Linked DNA regions of Diceros bicornis minor. The protein of the gene in region 1 binds, or shares a complex with, the protein of each later gene. Links are inferred from orthologs where the notes say so. Each region holds a gene or a part of one and is shown in the gene's direction. Other genes may lie near its edges. The genes, in order: SPAG9 and ARF6.

Region 1 (8,244 bases):
GGACAGTTTCCTGTTTTTTTTTTGCTAGGAAAGATTCACTCTGAGCTAATATCTGTTGCAAATCTCCCCCCAACCTTTTTTTTGCTTCCCAGAGCCCCAGTATATAGTTGTATATTTTAAAGCCCTTCTAGTTCTCCTGTGTGAGCCACCGCCACATCATGGCTACTGACAGGGGAGTGGTGTGGTTCCGTGCCCGGGAACTGACTTGTGCTGCAAAAGCAAAGTGTGCCGAACTTTAACCACTAGGCTGTCAGGGCTTGCTTGACAGTTTCTTCTCATCCTCTTTCCTTTCTCAGCATGACTGTTAATAAATGTATCAAAATTAATTTCTAAACTACAATGGATTTGCAATGTCATCCTCAATGAAATCTATTTAAAGACTCTTTTGGAAATGGGGTCCAGGTTTGTCTGATGTTTCCTAAAATACCTTTCTTTTTTCTTTTTTTTAAATTTATTGTGGTAACATTGGTTTATAACATTATATAAATTTCAGGTATACATCATTATATTTTGATTTCTGTGTAGATTACATCATGTTGACAACCCAAAGACTAATTACAATCAATCTAATCTATACTTTTCTTATCTATTTACTTAGGAGACTCAAGTGAGGGAGTAGGGAGACAAAATTCAGGTTTCTTGCTAACGAGTTTCATCGGATGCTTACTTGCTTCAGAGAAAACAAGTCCTCTTGCACTTGACACCTTTCCCACAGAGACAGTGAAGACTTCCTGGATCACCTTATAGATTGTTAAATGTTAACCATGTGTGTGGCCAGCCCCATGGCAAAGTGGTTAAGTGAGCGTGCTCCACTGCTGGTGGCCTGGGTTCGGATCCCAGGCGTGGACCGATGCACCCGTTGTCAGGCCACGCCGTAGCGGTGTCCCACATAAAGTAGAGGAAGATCGGCAGGGATGTTAGCTCGCGGTCAATCTGCCTCAGCAAAAAGAGGAGGATTGGCATGGATGTTAGCTCAGGGCTGATCTTCCTCACACACACACACAAAAATGTTAACCATGTGATATCTGGGAGATGGCATTACCTGAGTGATTTTAATTTTCCTCTCTGTGCTTTTCTGTATTTAGCAAATTTTCTACAGTAAGTATGCATTTCGTCTATAATTGGGGAAAAAATCCAACCAACTCACTGTTTTGAAAACATATCTTTTATTCCCAGAGTGAGATTCGGCTCAATGTGTAAAAAATATACTGAGAGTTGGGTGATGGGCCTCCTCTTCTTCCACTCCACTCAAGTCAGATGGAGGTAGGGAGAAAATAGACCTGAACACGAATATGACCAATATACCTTGGGCCCATCAAAAATAGCCTCAGATACTGGGATTCTTGCTTCAGCAATATGTTCAGCCTCCTCATCTTAGAGGCAATTTCTGGTAGTCCAAAGTTCTGAGGGGAGGGGGAGAAGAGGGGGTTCCAAGGAAATAGCTCTTGTCTAGAGGGTTTCTTGCAACTTGAACCTGGACATATTTATCCATTGTATCCTGACACCTTAAAAAGGCTTTCAAAGGGAAAACTGAGGGCTCAGAAAAATCCTCCGGCACTTTTCAAGAGTCCCGGATTCCACAGCTAGACTGCCTCACCAAGCACGTTCTAGTTTGGATGGGGTGATGAATCACTTATCATTTCACACCGCCATAAGTGGAGGGCCTTGTGCACTGGGAGCCCTCTTTTCCCTTCCTCTCTCAGCAACCGTCTCTCCCCATGTGGGAAAATGTAGTTTGTGAAACCAGACAAACTGATTCACATAGAAATAACTGTAAAAGTTCCAGAAGGCTAGACAAATAACAGGACCAGTAATTTCAGTGTTCCAGTGATTATAGTTATTGTGCTTAGGAAAAAACTCCTCCCTTCCTGCCCTCATCAACTCCTCCCCTCTGCTGCCCCATTACTGTCCTCACTATTTTTGCAAGGCCAAAGAATCTCTCGAAACGGAATTTCCTTCCTTTTAGGAATCAAGAGTAAACATTTACCCTGCAGTCCACAATATGACCTGTTTTCCTGAATGACTCTTAGTCTTTAACAATAATCTTGGCCCTTGGGGTTAGAGGTGGGTGCTGGGGATTTATCCAGGCAGTTGAGCATAAGAAGTAGTATTACCGCCTACATAATTAGGAGTCGACTAACGCAACTCAGTCTCAAGGCCCTGTCTCCTTTCACTCCCACCTACAAACGAGAATCATAGGATTTTAGAATTGCAAGCAATCTTCATAGATTCGGTAACACACCTCTTCACTATCCAGATGAAGAAGCTCAGGCTCACAGTCCTTAGCGCAGTGCCTGGCACCGAGTAGTACTGAGTAACTATTTACTTTTTTGTTTCTGGCCTAAGTTTTTTCAAAATGACCAGTCCATACTAGAATACAAGGTTCTCACTTTATAATTTTATTTATTTATTTATTTATTTCCCCAAAGCCCAGTAGATAGTTGTATGTCAAGCTGCACATCCTTCTAGTTGCTGTTTGTGGGACGTGGCCTCAGCATGGGCGGAGAAGCGGTGCCTCAGTGCGTGCCAGGGATCGAACCCTGGGCCACCAGCAGCAGAGCGCGCGCACTTAACCGCTAAGCCAAGGGGCCGGCCCAGGTTCTCACTTTAAACGCTGTTTTGTTTCCATTCTATCTCACCGAGTTAAGTGCTTCCATTTGGGTTTACTATAAACTCATTATAGCCAAAAATTTTATTTTTTAACAGCTTTATTGAGATACAATTCACATATCATACAATTCACCAATTTAAAGTGTACAATTCAATGGTTTTTAGTATATTCAGAGTCGTGTATCTATCACCACAATCAATTTTAGAGCATTTTCATTACCTCCCCAAGAAACCCCATACCCATTAGCAATCACCCTTCTTTTCTCTCATTCCTCCAGTCAGCCCTAGGCAACCACTGATCTTTTTTTTTTTTTTCCCCCTTGTCTCCCCAAAGCCCCAGTAGATAGTTGTTGATAGTTGCACATCCCTCTAGTTGCTGTATGTGGGACTCCGCCTCAGCGTGGCCAGACAAGCAGTGCGCCGGTGCACGCCTGGGATCTGAACCCAGGCCACCAGTAGCAGAGCGCGCGCACTCAACGGCTAAGCCACGGGGCTGGCCCTACCACTGATCTTTCATACATGGCTCTTTGTGACTGGTTGCTTTTACCTAGCATAATATATTCAGGATTCATCTATGTTGTGGCATGTACTTCATTCTTTGTATTGCGGAATAATAAATATTCTGTTAGATGCATACACCATATTTTTTAAATCTATTCAACAGTTGATGGGCATATGGCTGAATTTTAAACAATTAAATGTGATCTCTGATAGCAGAAGCTTAAAATCAAGACATAAATATATATCTCATATCTATGTTGAATTTAAAGAAGCATACTTATTATGAAGACTTTATTATAATCTCATACCTGAAAATAAAGACATTTTTTATCTAAATTTTCTTATGTATATAATATTGTGGAAAGACAAAGTAAAGCTTTGTCCTAAGTTTTCCTGTTCCTCTGAATCCCAGCAAAATAGAGGCATATATATATAGGTAGATTGCCTCAGAAACAGCCCTCAGGAAGAGAAAAAAGAAGAGAAAACAAAGATCCAGAGGAAGACCCTTTTTTCTGGTTTTCAAATGTGAGGTTTAGAAGAGAAAGGGCATTTGGGGCTCACACCCAACTAGCTGATCCGCATTCCTGAAACCCTGACACACACACAAACAATATAAAGGTGGATGTGGGGTGATGGTGAGAAAGGGGACAGTACAGGCCGCAAATTCATTCCCATTTGACATCATAAGGCTTAGCACGTTCATTTTTGTCCTTCTGAGTTTATAGATTGGCCCTCGCCCAACCTCCATCCTGTTCTTGTGGGTCTCCAGGTGGGTCCAGATTGGGAGACTTCGGAGGACTAGCTACTGCTTGGTAGGAAGAAGATGAACTTGTAAACATCACGTTGAGGGTATTTATGATCCCAGGAGGTGGCCGATTCCCCCGCTAAACCCTTGTCTATCCAAGTCCTGCCTTCCCTCCCCCTATTCTTAGAGGAACCGGGGCCGCAGAACTCTTGAGTCACCTGCCGCGGAAAGAAGGGGCTTTTGGGAGTGTCTTCCGCTCCGTTTGCAGAGGCTAGATGAGAACACCGGGAAGCGATCCTTGACTCAGCCCGCCTGAGGCTTGGGTGTTGTGTCATTCCCCACACGTGATGCTTTTCCAGGCGGCGGATACCTCACGCATCATGGGACTTATTCACCCCAGTGACTCCACCCCTTTCCTCCTCTACTCCTCAACCCCCTTCTTGCCTCCTCCGCCCCCCTTCAAGACGAGAAGATAAGAGGGTGGCTGGAGGCAGGAAATGCCACTCTCCCAGGCTGGCCAGGAGAAGCAGAGAAAACCCCGAGTTTGGGAAGGTGCGAGACGTGGAGTTACAGTTTTACCCTTCTCCAGAATGCTTTGCACTTCCTCTGTTTTAGGCTATCGTTACTCTCATTATCCCCAGATAGTTCCATCCTATTTGAGACCACCTTATCACTTAGGTAGACCTGGTTTTAGTTAAGGTTTCCCCACTTTCCTCTGACCCCGGAATTCTCAGTCAGAACTGGTCTGAGTCCCCGATCAGCTTTCTTCCCGTTCTAGCCGTGTGACCTTGAGTGAACCACAACTTCTCCGAGCCTACTCTCCATGTCTGGGAAACGCAGGCGAAACGTCTACCGCACCACGCCTGTTGCGCGGAACAAATGAGAAAGTCCTTGTGAGCTGTAAAAAGCAACAGAAGTTAGCTACGTTAATTCTGGACGTGTAGTCACTCTTGCAGAACCCTTCCCTTTCCTTTGGGACCCGCCCTGCAAATCCCGCCTCGTGCTGACAGTTGTCGCCACCCTCCTGTCGCCGTTTTTCCCATTGGCGAACGCACTGTACGCGCGGCGCCGAGTGTTGACGTCACGGCCCCTGCCGGCGCACGATGACGTATTGGCCCCGCCCCGGCCGCTCCTTACCTCCCGCGGGGCCCCGCCCATCGGGCCGACGCGGCGCGAGTCCCGCCCCGCGGGTGACGTGTGCGCGTGAGGCCCGGCCGCCCCGGCAGTTGGTGCAGCGGCGGTTGGGCTGAGGGCGCTTACCCCACCCCTCCCCTCCTCCGGCCCGGGCTCCCACCCCGCCGGGCCCAGCCCCGGCCCTAGCCCCAACCCTAGCCCGAGCCCGAGCCGGGCCCGTCCCGTGCGGGCCCGTGCCGCCCCCTCAGCCGGCGACGCCCCGGGCCGCCCGCCCGCCTGCCCGCCACCATGGAGCTGGAGGACGGTGTGGTGTACCAGGAGGAGCCCGGCGGCTCTGGGGCCGTGATGTCGGAGCGGGTGTCCGGCCTGGCCGGCTCCATCTACCGCGAGTTCGAGCGGCTCATCGGGCGCTACGACGAGGAGGTGGTCAAGGAGCTGATGCCACTGGTGGTGGCCGTGCTGGAGAACCTGGACTCGGTGTTCGCGCAGGACCAGGAGCACCAGGTGGAGCTGGAGCTGCTGCGGGACGACAACGAGCAGCTCATCACCCAGTACGAGCGGGAGAAGGCGCTGCGCAAGCACGCCGAGGAGGTGAGGGCCGGCCGGCCGGCGGGGAGGGCGGGGGCCGGGCCCGAGGGCGGGCCGGGGGCCAGGGGTCGCGGGTCGCGGCCGGGCCTGGCCCGGGAGGGGGGTGCGCCGGGCCTCCTAGGGGCGGGCCTGAGGCCGAGGCCCCCCGACTGAGTCCGGAGGCCGAGAGGTCCCCGGGACCCCCGGCCCGCGTCGGAAGCCGAGGCGGACGAGTGAGTGTCCAGGAGAAGGGAGTGAGATGGGGGAGGCAGGGCCCGGGGAGGAAGCCACAGCCTGGCATGAGGGCACCTGGGGTTGGCTGAGGGCAGAGATTTTAGGATGTCTGGTCGCCTCTTGTAGTTTAGGGAAGCTTCCGACCACCGTAGGATAGTCAGATGGTGGTTCAAACTTTTACCACGACGAGGGGGGGGTGGTGGTGGCATTTAAATATGTATGTAACTTCCGCTGCTTCCAGTACCTTTCCAGGGGGTTGCTGCTTTGGGAAGTTAGAGATCTCCCTCTTTCGGTCAGTTTCTTTTTGATGTTTTAACGCTGTTGAAACAGAGGTTTAATTTTATGTTTTGTATGCCTTGGTTGACACTTTGTCAACACTTAGGTGTTGTAAAGCAATACTCTGTAAATATGGAGAGTATACAACTTTATTTTATGTATCCCACAGCAAAGCATTCCTCCATATCAGGTGGTAACCTTGGACAGTTCCCTTTAAAAACTCTATTTATAAAGAGGACGGGGCGAGGGGCGGGCGGGTTTGAGGAGGTTGTAGGTGACTGCTGGCAACCCATTTCAGACTGCAGTTTACAGGTGCATTTGGCCGGCTCTCAACTCTAGCACCTCAGCAGTGATCTCTGTGCCCTCCCCTCAAGTCTGTGAACCTTTTGGAGCTCTGCGGTGCAGGTGGTCGGTCTTGGACATCTTGAGACAGTCAAGGATTTTAGCTTTCAGGCTGTGTTGGCATTATTTCTGTAGAACTTACCTAATGCAAGTGAAGTGTCCTGTTCATCTTTGTTTCTTGAGCGTGTAGTACACCTGGTGTCTAAATACATGGTGATTGAAGGGAACTAAATGACTAATTATTGAAGGAATGACATGTTCTCTTTCAAAAATACTTGAAAAGTTTTTGGAATGTGAGATTTGTTTCGCAGCTCATTTCCTAACACTAAATAGTACCACCGTTTAAACTTTTTGTCACATAGACCTTTGTACCAGGTCAAATAGTTCTTTTTCAAGCTTTACTGTAGTGATGATTTTTAGTTCTGATTTTGTGAGTCATTTGACTTAAAGGAATGCTGTTATATTTGCCAAACAAAATTGACTTTATTTCAAGAGTATTTCGAAGTATATAGGGAAGGAGGGGTTGAAAAAAATCTAAGGATGGGATCACAATTTCCACTAGTTTAATAGCACGATTTATAGAACAGAGGTCATGTACTGCTTCTGAGAGGGCATGCCATATCTTCATGCCCACACAGGCCCTTGCCAGTGTGTGGATGTACATGGAAAAGACTGGGGAATTAACCACATATACACACAGGTGAGGAGCAGGCCCAGCATGACCTATCACCTGGGGTAAAAGAAATGCTCCCTCCAGCCTTCAACTCCTGTGAGTTCATATAAACATGGGCAAAATGCCAAGGTCACACGTGCCAGGAAAACCATCTGCCACAGGTTGCAGAATCAGAAAATAAAACTGACTAACTGCTGGGCTCTGGGTTATATATTAATTTCGTAAATAAATAACTTTTTAAACATGGGTTATCCAGTGACTTCCTTTGTAATTTATACTTTTTCAAACACATCTATAAATTCTCTCTAATGAAACCTTTTGGCAAAGGGCCATGACCTGAGAATAGAGAACATTGATGAAACGCTAGATGAGCCAACTCCCAGACCACAAACATAAAACCACCTTGTTATCAGTCTTCAAGTAAGATCATAAATCAAGTTTTACCCAGTACCCAGAAATTCATTCTCTCTTAGGCCAATATGCAGAGGTGAATTCTGTGTTTAATTTTCTGTGAGTGCTTTGTTTGTGGCCTTTAATATGGAAACTAAGAGTCTGCTATTAGAGCAAAAGTGCCTCAGGGCATTTACAGCATAAGTATTTGAAAGTATGTAAATGGTCCATCCCCAGAAAGTGTAAAGTAAATTCTAAGCACCTTTGTGGAAATTTAGGAGGGTATGTGAATGGTGAGAATGTTTTAGGAGGTGTGAAGTGCTATAATCTCTTGCTTGCCGGAATTCTCAACAAGAAATCAGAAACTTAATCTTTATTATAATAATATTACTTAATTTGAATACCTTCTGTCTTCTTCTTTGCTTTTATGTGAATGTTTTTGTGTAGAATTAGCCTGCTGTTTTTGTGAGTCTTTAAAAACAACCTAAAGGAGGGCTAATTTTAGGTGGGTTTGTGACCAGTTTCAAATGCTAATCAGGAAATCTTCATCCTGTTGCTCACCTCTCTTCTCTTTGGGCTCTCTACTCCAGCCAGATGTCTTTCCATTCCTTAAGCAAGTCTTGTCTGATGCCTTCGCCCATGCTGTTCCCTTGGCCTACTATGCTTTTCTCTCAGAGCTTCACCTTTTCTAGCTTCTCACTTTCGGCTCAGCTTAAATTTCACTTCTTCATCTAGACCTTGCCTGTCTACTCTATCCACAGTAAGCCCTGCG
Region 2 (7,361 bases), on another chromosome or scaffold:
GATCTGGGGTGGGGCTCAAGCATTTGTGCGGTTTAAAAACGCCCCCAGGTGATTTTAACGTGCAGCCAGGGCTGAAAACCATTTATCTAGTCCAGCTTGCTGAGTTCACAAAATAATTTGGTACAATAGAGAAAAGAACACCAGACTTGCATCAAAAAATCTTAGTTTGAATCTCCTTTGTACCAGTCCTTGATCTTAAGAAAGTTGCTCACCCTCTCAGTGTCCGAGCTCCTTCAGCTGTAAAGAGGAGTAATACACACCGCCCTCATCAATTAAGAGAGATTTCTCTACCACAGAAATAGAGAAATTGATGATCAATGAGGTGAATAACTTAACCAAGTTAAACCTAAGTCAACAAGTGTTGGGAGTAGTTTAAGGATGTAATTTAGCTTTTTCTCTTCACTTGAGCCACTAGACCATGTTGCCTCAGCATTTATTTTTATGGTCTGAAGCTGTAACTATTAAACAGTTTGCTAAACTATCAGCTATAATTTAAACTTTTGTTTTTAGTTCTATTATTCCCACTTTTAATATTGCTAAAAATGAGATGAAGTCTTCATACTCAGGCATAACTAAATTAATCATCAAGGTTTCGATTGGGATACAACTTTTTTTATGGTTAAAGAGGAAGAACTAAAGCCAGCCCTGATGGCCTAGTGGTTAAAGTTCGGTGCACTCTGCTTCAGTGGCCTGGGTTCACTTCCAGGGCACGAACCACACCATCTGTCCATCAGTTGCCATGCTGTGGTGGTGGCTCACATAGAAGAACTAGAAAGACTTACAACTAGGATATACAGCCATGCACTGCGGCTTTCAGGAGAAAACAGGTGTGGGGAAGATTGGCAACAGATGTTAGCTCAGGGCGACTCTTTCTCTGCAATCAATCAATCAATCAATCGGAAGAACTAGAAAGTGATTCCTCAGCTGACACAGGGAAAGGATGAGGGAGGGAACCACCATATTTGCATCCATTAAAGTTACCAAGAATACTTATAAATGAATTGTTTTCATTGTATTCACTGGATTTCTCAGTTTTATTTTTGAGAGTCTCAATCTTTTACTGTGTATCATCAAAAAATGTTTGAAACTTTATTTTACTACATACTAGGCATTATGCTGGCACTAAAGATTCAAAGATGAAAAGAACACACCTCTCTGAGAGAGCTTAAAAACACATAGGTACAATACCAAGGGAGAGCTAACGCTGCAGCCTCAATTAGTTTCAGCTGGAAAGGATTAGTAATTTTTTTTTTTTATCTAAAGATATACTTTATTATGGCTTGTTATTTACTCTTTATTTCTACTGCTAATAAGATTTCCTGGGGCTCTACGCCTTCTCTAGATAGAACTCAATTCTGAGTAAGCCTGGATGAAGGGCTCAAACTGAAGCCATAAGTAGGGGATGATACCTTCCTCAAACAGGTATGTAGTCAGAGCACCCTTGCACCCTCACCATGTGGTCAGAATTGTTCTTGGCACTGCATGGGATAGAAAGAAAAATACTACAGAATCATACAGCATGAGTGCTTTTAAAGAGCTCCAGGAATTCCAGAAATAGGGGAAAACAGCATGGGGTGCTATTGTTCAAGAAGACTTGTTCATTTCATTTCAAAAGCAGAAAGCCAAGCCATTTTTAAAAGTAAATATTTTCTTATAAGATGGTATTTTAGTCAGGAATATCATAAGCATATTATTATATGTGGTTGTTGAACAGATCAGAAATTATGAAATGGTGTTTTATAAAGGGGAAGCCTGGTTTGAAAGTAAGCTGGAGAACTCTCTTCACTTGCAGGCTTTGAGTTAAACAGCAGAGATCAACTTTTCTATAATTTTTGGAGCTTTCATTTGTGTCTAAAACAGTGAAACAGTGCAAACTGAGAAATCCAATATTTTGTTTCAGAAATGTAAATTTTAGTTTATCTGTAAAATATTTCACTGAACAGAAATAATATTTTTAAAATTGAAATTTACCTTTTTTGAACTGTTAACTCTTTCAAGAAGGAATTGAGAAAAAATGTTTCATTGGTGGTATGATTTAGCAGTTGCCTAAATTGTTACTTTTTGCAGATATTTTCGTTTTATTGAAATTCACTTACTATTTTTTTTGACTGCCATGATTACACATACAAAGTTAAAATTTTTCAGTCTTTGTATTTATTTTCTGGCTATTATTAATGATTATTACTTAAAATAATTTATTGTATAATTTATCATATGGCGAGCCACTCCAGAAATCCAGTACTCTAAGATATGCCACTGTATGAAAAGCCTGTCAATTAACATACTATTTCAAACCCCCAGATAAAAATAGTATGTACCTTTTCTTTTTTGTCTTACCTGTGGTATAAAAGGCATTCATTCACTCATTCAAATAATGACTGAACTCCTGATACCTACATGCTGTCACTGGGAACATTATGTTGACAAGACAAAGTCTCTGCCTCCATGAAGCTTGCATTCTGGTGGGGAAAAAATGCAAGAAGGCTTTCAAAAATAACTTTTTTAGCCCTAGCACAGTGCCAGTGCCTGGAAGATGCTAGTGATTCAAGTTGCTTATATTTTTAATTATATCATGCCTTCCACTGAAAAATAAATCCAAGCCCCGCAGATCAACCTCCCCTCCACTTGGAAAAACTGGAATCTGCTGTGAGAAAACTATTACGTTGGAATGAAACAAAATACAACACCCGCCTCTATTTGCCACATAAGATATAACAATAATTACTATGGCACTTTATAGGTATAAAGCATTTTGAGAAATGCTGTAATTGAGCTTCCAAACAACTGTGTGAGGTAGTCAGGGAGACAGCACAATTTCGGGGTTAAGAGGATGAGCTGTAGATTCACGATTTAATCTAAGCTCTGTGACCTTCCAAAAATTACTTAAGCTCTCTGACTCTCAGTTTCCTCATATGAAAATATTAATACTCAAAGCTACCTCATGTGGTTGCTGTGCGGACTAAAACAAAACATTTAAAGTATTTAGTTCAGTGTTTACCATTACGAACACTAAATAAATGACGACTATTTTCATTCATATTCATCTGATTTTACAAATAAATAAAGTTTACAAAAGTTTACACTTAAAAATTCACAGCTATAAAATGGAGGGGTGACACACCGAACCCCAATCTTCTGACTTCAAATCCTTCTTTCAGTTTTATGACAGTGCCTATTAAGGCAGATGGAAAGCAAATTAGATCACTGTCAGAATATTAATAACTTTAGTAAGTCTATTTCAGGCTGAAGCTTATAAGGTTATTATTTAACCAAGCTACCACTGTCAAATTTTCTTAAATTGTTAAATAAAAAGTACGTTACCATATGCTGTTATATCATCTTCCTTTAAAAAAAAAACCTACTTCCTGTTTTTCCTCCCCTTGGTTCATTGATTTTAAACTTTCACCTTATTTGAAGTCTAACCTTATCACTAACCATTTGAAACAAAAAGTTTTCCTAAAGTCTTGCACAAATGGCATGTTATTTAACGCTGAAACGGGGTGCAGAGAGCAAGGTCAGCGTGACACTCGGTGTGCGCACGAAGCGCGAGGTTGAAGGCCTGGACCCGGGCCGATGCCGGAGTCCCTCCTGCGCTGACTGCCGCCGGGGCCTCTCCCAGTGAGGAGTGGCGGGAGGCGGCTGCCATCTCCCTGAAAGGAGGCGGTGTTTAAAGAGAGAAGCCATGGCCTCCTACAGAGCCGAGGACGCGGCCGGCAGGGACCGCCAGTCACACCGTCACTTAAGGACGCGGACTGGGGCCGACGGGCGGGCACAGGCGGGGCCTCGGCGCCACTCCACGCCGGCTCCACACCCAGCCCGGCCTCCCCGCGCTTCCGGGAGACGCCCGGGGCACGAGTGAGACGGGAGGCCCGGAGACGCGGGGAGGGAAGACCACGCGGGGCTCCGGGCGTCAGGGCGCGAAGGCGCGGCCCCACCCCGCGCATCGCTCCTCCGGTTCGAGGCGGCGGGCGGCGAGAGAGCGCGGAACCGGGAGAGGGGAGGGGAGGAGACGCCAAGCAGGCGCCGGGGCCGCGGGACCAAGTCAGAGATTCGCGAGCCCTCCGGGCCGCCGTAGCCCCGCCCCTCGCACGGCGCCATGACGCGGGCGCGCGGGCCGCTCTCCTGACAGGGGTCGCGCCCGTCCGAACGGCCGCCCGCGCCGCGCATGCGCGGTCGGGAGGGGAAGTGAGGCGGTTTCCTCGGCGCCTTTTCCGGCGGCGGCGGCGGCGGCGGCGGCGGCAGAGCTGGGCGGAGGCGGTGGCGGCCGGAGGAGCCCGCGCTCGGGGCGGCGGCCGAGGTAACCTGGCCCAGCCGGACGGGCGGTGCCGCGGTGCTCCCGGAGCCCGCCGTAACCCTCTCTCTGTGTCTCCGCAGGCAGCGCCCGAGTCCCGGTCGGCCCCTGACGCGGCCCCTGCCCCTCGCGTGGCCTGCTCGGCGGCGACCCGGCCCGGGCGGCGGCGGCGGCTTAGGAGCGGGCTCGGGCCGCGGAGGGCGGTTCCGGCCGGCCCGCCCGCTCCCCCCGGCAGGGCGCGGCCGCGCGGGCTCGCGGGCGCGGCAGGAAGCGGCGCGGGCGGGTGATGCCCGAGTGAGCGGGCGGCCTGCCCACGAGGCGGCCCACGGAGCGCGCGCCCCGGCTGGTTCCGGCCCCGCGACCCTGAATGCCCCCGGGCCCGGCCGCTCCGGCGCGATGGGGAAGGTGCTGTCCAAGATCTTCGGGAACAAGGAGATGCGGATCCTCATGCTGGGCCTGGACGCGGCCGGCAAGACCACCATCCTGTACAAGCTGAAGCTCGGCCAGTCGGTGACCACCATCCCCACGGTGGGCTTCAACGTGGAGACGGTGACTTACAAAAACGTGAAGTTCAACGTGTGGGACGTGGGCGGCCAGGACAAGATCCGGCCGCTCTGGCGGCACTACTACACCGGGACCCAGGGCCTGATCTTCGTGGTGGACTGCGCCGACCGCGACCGCATCGACGAGGCCCGCCAGGAGCTGCACCGCATCATCAACGACCGGGAGATGCGGGACGCCATCATCCTCATCTTCGCCAACAAGCAGGACCTGCCCGATGCCATGAAGCCCCACGAGATCCAGGAGAAACTGGGCCTGACCCGGATTCGGGACAGGAACTGGTATGTGCAGCCCTCGTGTGCCACCTCGGGGGACGGACTCTATGAGGGGCTCACATGGTTAACCTCTAACTACAAATCCTAATGAGCGTTCTCCACCCATCCCCGGAAGGAGAGGAATCGGAACCCATTCATAGGATTATCGCCACCATCACCTCTTCCAATGGCCACTTTCTCTTCTTTTCAATTCGAACTCTGGAGTTACTGTTCAACGGTTTGGGGGGGGTTGAGGGGTTTTCTTTTTTGTTGGTTTCTTTTTTTTTTTTTCCCCGCTTTGCGTTAGAATGCTCTGATCTGACATTTGACATGAACACGAAGTGCTAGATGCTCTTGTTGACTTCCAGCAAATGGGATGGGGAAATATAGCAGTTCTTGGTAAAGTCCTTTATAATAATGGTTTGATTTTTTTATTTCGAGAGAATCTTTTTTTCCAATGTATGCTTTTTTTCCTTTTTGCCCAGTTTCCTTATCACTTGCTGTAGATGGCTTATTTTGCATTCATGCAGACTATGTTGCAAGTCTGTTTCATCTAGTAAACTGAAAATTATTGCTTAATCAAACTGCCGTTTGTCTTTTATATTTAAGGCCTTTTCTCCTTCCCTTATGAGTTCTAACTTTTAGTAATTTCCAGTGTGACCTTTTATCTAAGACCAGTATAGTAAACTTAGCCCACAGTGGCAAATAATGAGTAATATCATTGTAATATATTCCAGTTGTACATCAGTATATTAAAACAGGTCATGTAAGAAGTTCTTTGAAATGTCAGCTATTAAATTCTGAAACATAACACCATGCATGAGTAGGGATAAAAGTCAAGTTCCCCATTACGTAGCTAACTTACACTGCATAAAACTATGAAAAAACTATGAAAGTGTAACCACAGATTTTTTTCACTGCAAAGTTAGCAACTTTGCTGTGTTTTCCCTCTTTTTTAACTTTAAAAATAGACTCTTTCCAGAAAATGGAGCAATAATGGTCTATGCCACACACAGATGAAATATTTGTAGATATCTTAAGTGACTTTTGGGCAAAACTGGAATATATACTTTTACCATGTTTCAAATGTCTAAGACCAATAATTTTAAAATTACTAGAACGTTTACTTTGTTCATGAATAAAGCATTTAACAATTCAAATTATATGCACCTTTTACCTAGTTGGAAAAATACACGTTCTTGTTTTCACATTACAGCAACTGATTAAGCTGACAGTAGAAGTCTTTTTTTATAGATGAGTGATCCACATCTCCATTAATTAGAACACTGGAAATGATGTTTTATAGGATATTTAATTCTGGTTGTAGGATTAACTCATGCAAGTCAGATATCCTGTTGGTTCAATAATACACTATCTCCTTTAATGAAGGAAATGTGATGAATGAATGATGTGTAGACGTGAGGAATGACAATTAAAGGGGAGGTAGGATGAAGAGGAAGAACCTACAGATGACGATGAATGTAAACTCATTTTTCTTCAAGGGTAAGCAGTGGGCTCACTGGTGATACCCAGATCCTAAGGAGATTACTTGCTTAGCTGGTTAGGACCAGTAACTAGATTACTGAGACCAGTATGATAATACTTTGAACCAAATGTTAATGCTTGGTAACAGAATTGTGAAGCAGCATCTGGTTCTTATATAGCCTTAAGGATTAATTTTGGAGATCCTCAAGGAATTAAACTTAGGGAATTTCAGAAACATAGACTGCAAAAGCAGTACGCAGGAAAAGGTGGAGTTGGTTTTGTTTATGAGGGTATTTGAAAACTAAAATTGAGCGGGATATCATGGTATCTAGTTGGACAGTATTGGTCCTTCATGCTTTGGCCATATTGTGTAAATGGAGCTTTTACCAAAGACATACGAGAAGCATAAGGCTACAAAAAGTTAACTCTTCAAAGTAAAACTTTTGGGAAACATTTTGCTTAAAGCAGATAAGAAAAGGTGCTATGTCGTAGGCTCCTGATGGTGCAGAGGGATTTTTGAATTCAAAATGCAACTAAAGTATAAAGTTCTGTTTCACTTCAGTAGAATATCTCTAGAAGCTGTCAGACATGTATAAGAACATTTTAGTTGCCTTTGAAATTCCCAAAGCTCCACCATAAATTCTTAGTGTTTTAGATGATTACATTTAAGGTACATAAACATGGGTTATACAAATATCAATGCTGTAGTAACATCCAGAAATAAGACAAGCACAAAGGTATAAATGCCTAAACTGGAGGAAACTTGAAAC

Evidence for each region.
Region 2: the proteins of SPAG9 (region 1) and ARF6 are in contact, whole or in part, in a crystal structure (PDB 2W83), measured with the Homo sapiens proteins. The link is inferred for Diceros bicornis minor from reciprocal best matches to the Homo sapiens genes SPAG9 and ARF6. Residues at the interface, in NP_001124000.1 of Homo sapiens: Lys431, Asn432, Ile435, Val438, Asp439, Thr442, Cys443, Asp446, Val447, Gln449; in NP_001654.1 of Homo sapiens: Glu13, Arg15, Lys34, Phe47, Val49, Glu50, Thr51, Thr53, Lys58, Asn60, Trp62, His76, Tyr77, Thr79.

The regions. Positions count from the first base shown.
Region 1 is NC_080757.1:35,322,273-35,330,516, forward strand, and holds the start of SPAG9 (C-Jun-amino-terminal kinase-interacting protein 4), read left to right. Parts: upstream 1-5,171; 5' UTR 5,172-5,278; coding exon 5,279-5,581; intron 5,582-8,244. UniProt on the Homo sapiens protein: The JNK-interacting protein (JIP) group of scaffold proteins selectively mediates JNK signaling by aggregating specific components of the MAPK cascade to form a functional JNK signaling module.
Region 2 is NC_080744.1:2,126,788-2,134,148, reverse strand, and holds the start of ARF6 (ADP-ribosylation factor 6), read left to right. Parts: upstream 1-4,237; 5' UTR 4,238-4,297; intron 4,298-4,374; 5' UTR 4,375-4,687; coding exon 4,688-5,215; 3' UTR 5,216-7,361. UniProt on the Homo sapiens protein: GTP-binding protein involved in protein trafficking that regulates endocytic recycling and cytoskeleton remodeling. GTP-bound form plays an important role in the transport of multiple palmitoylated proteins form the Golgi to the plasma membrane.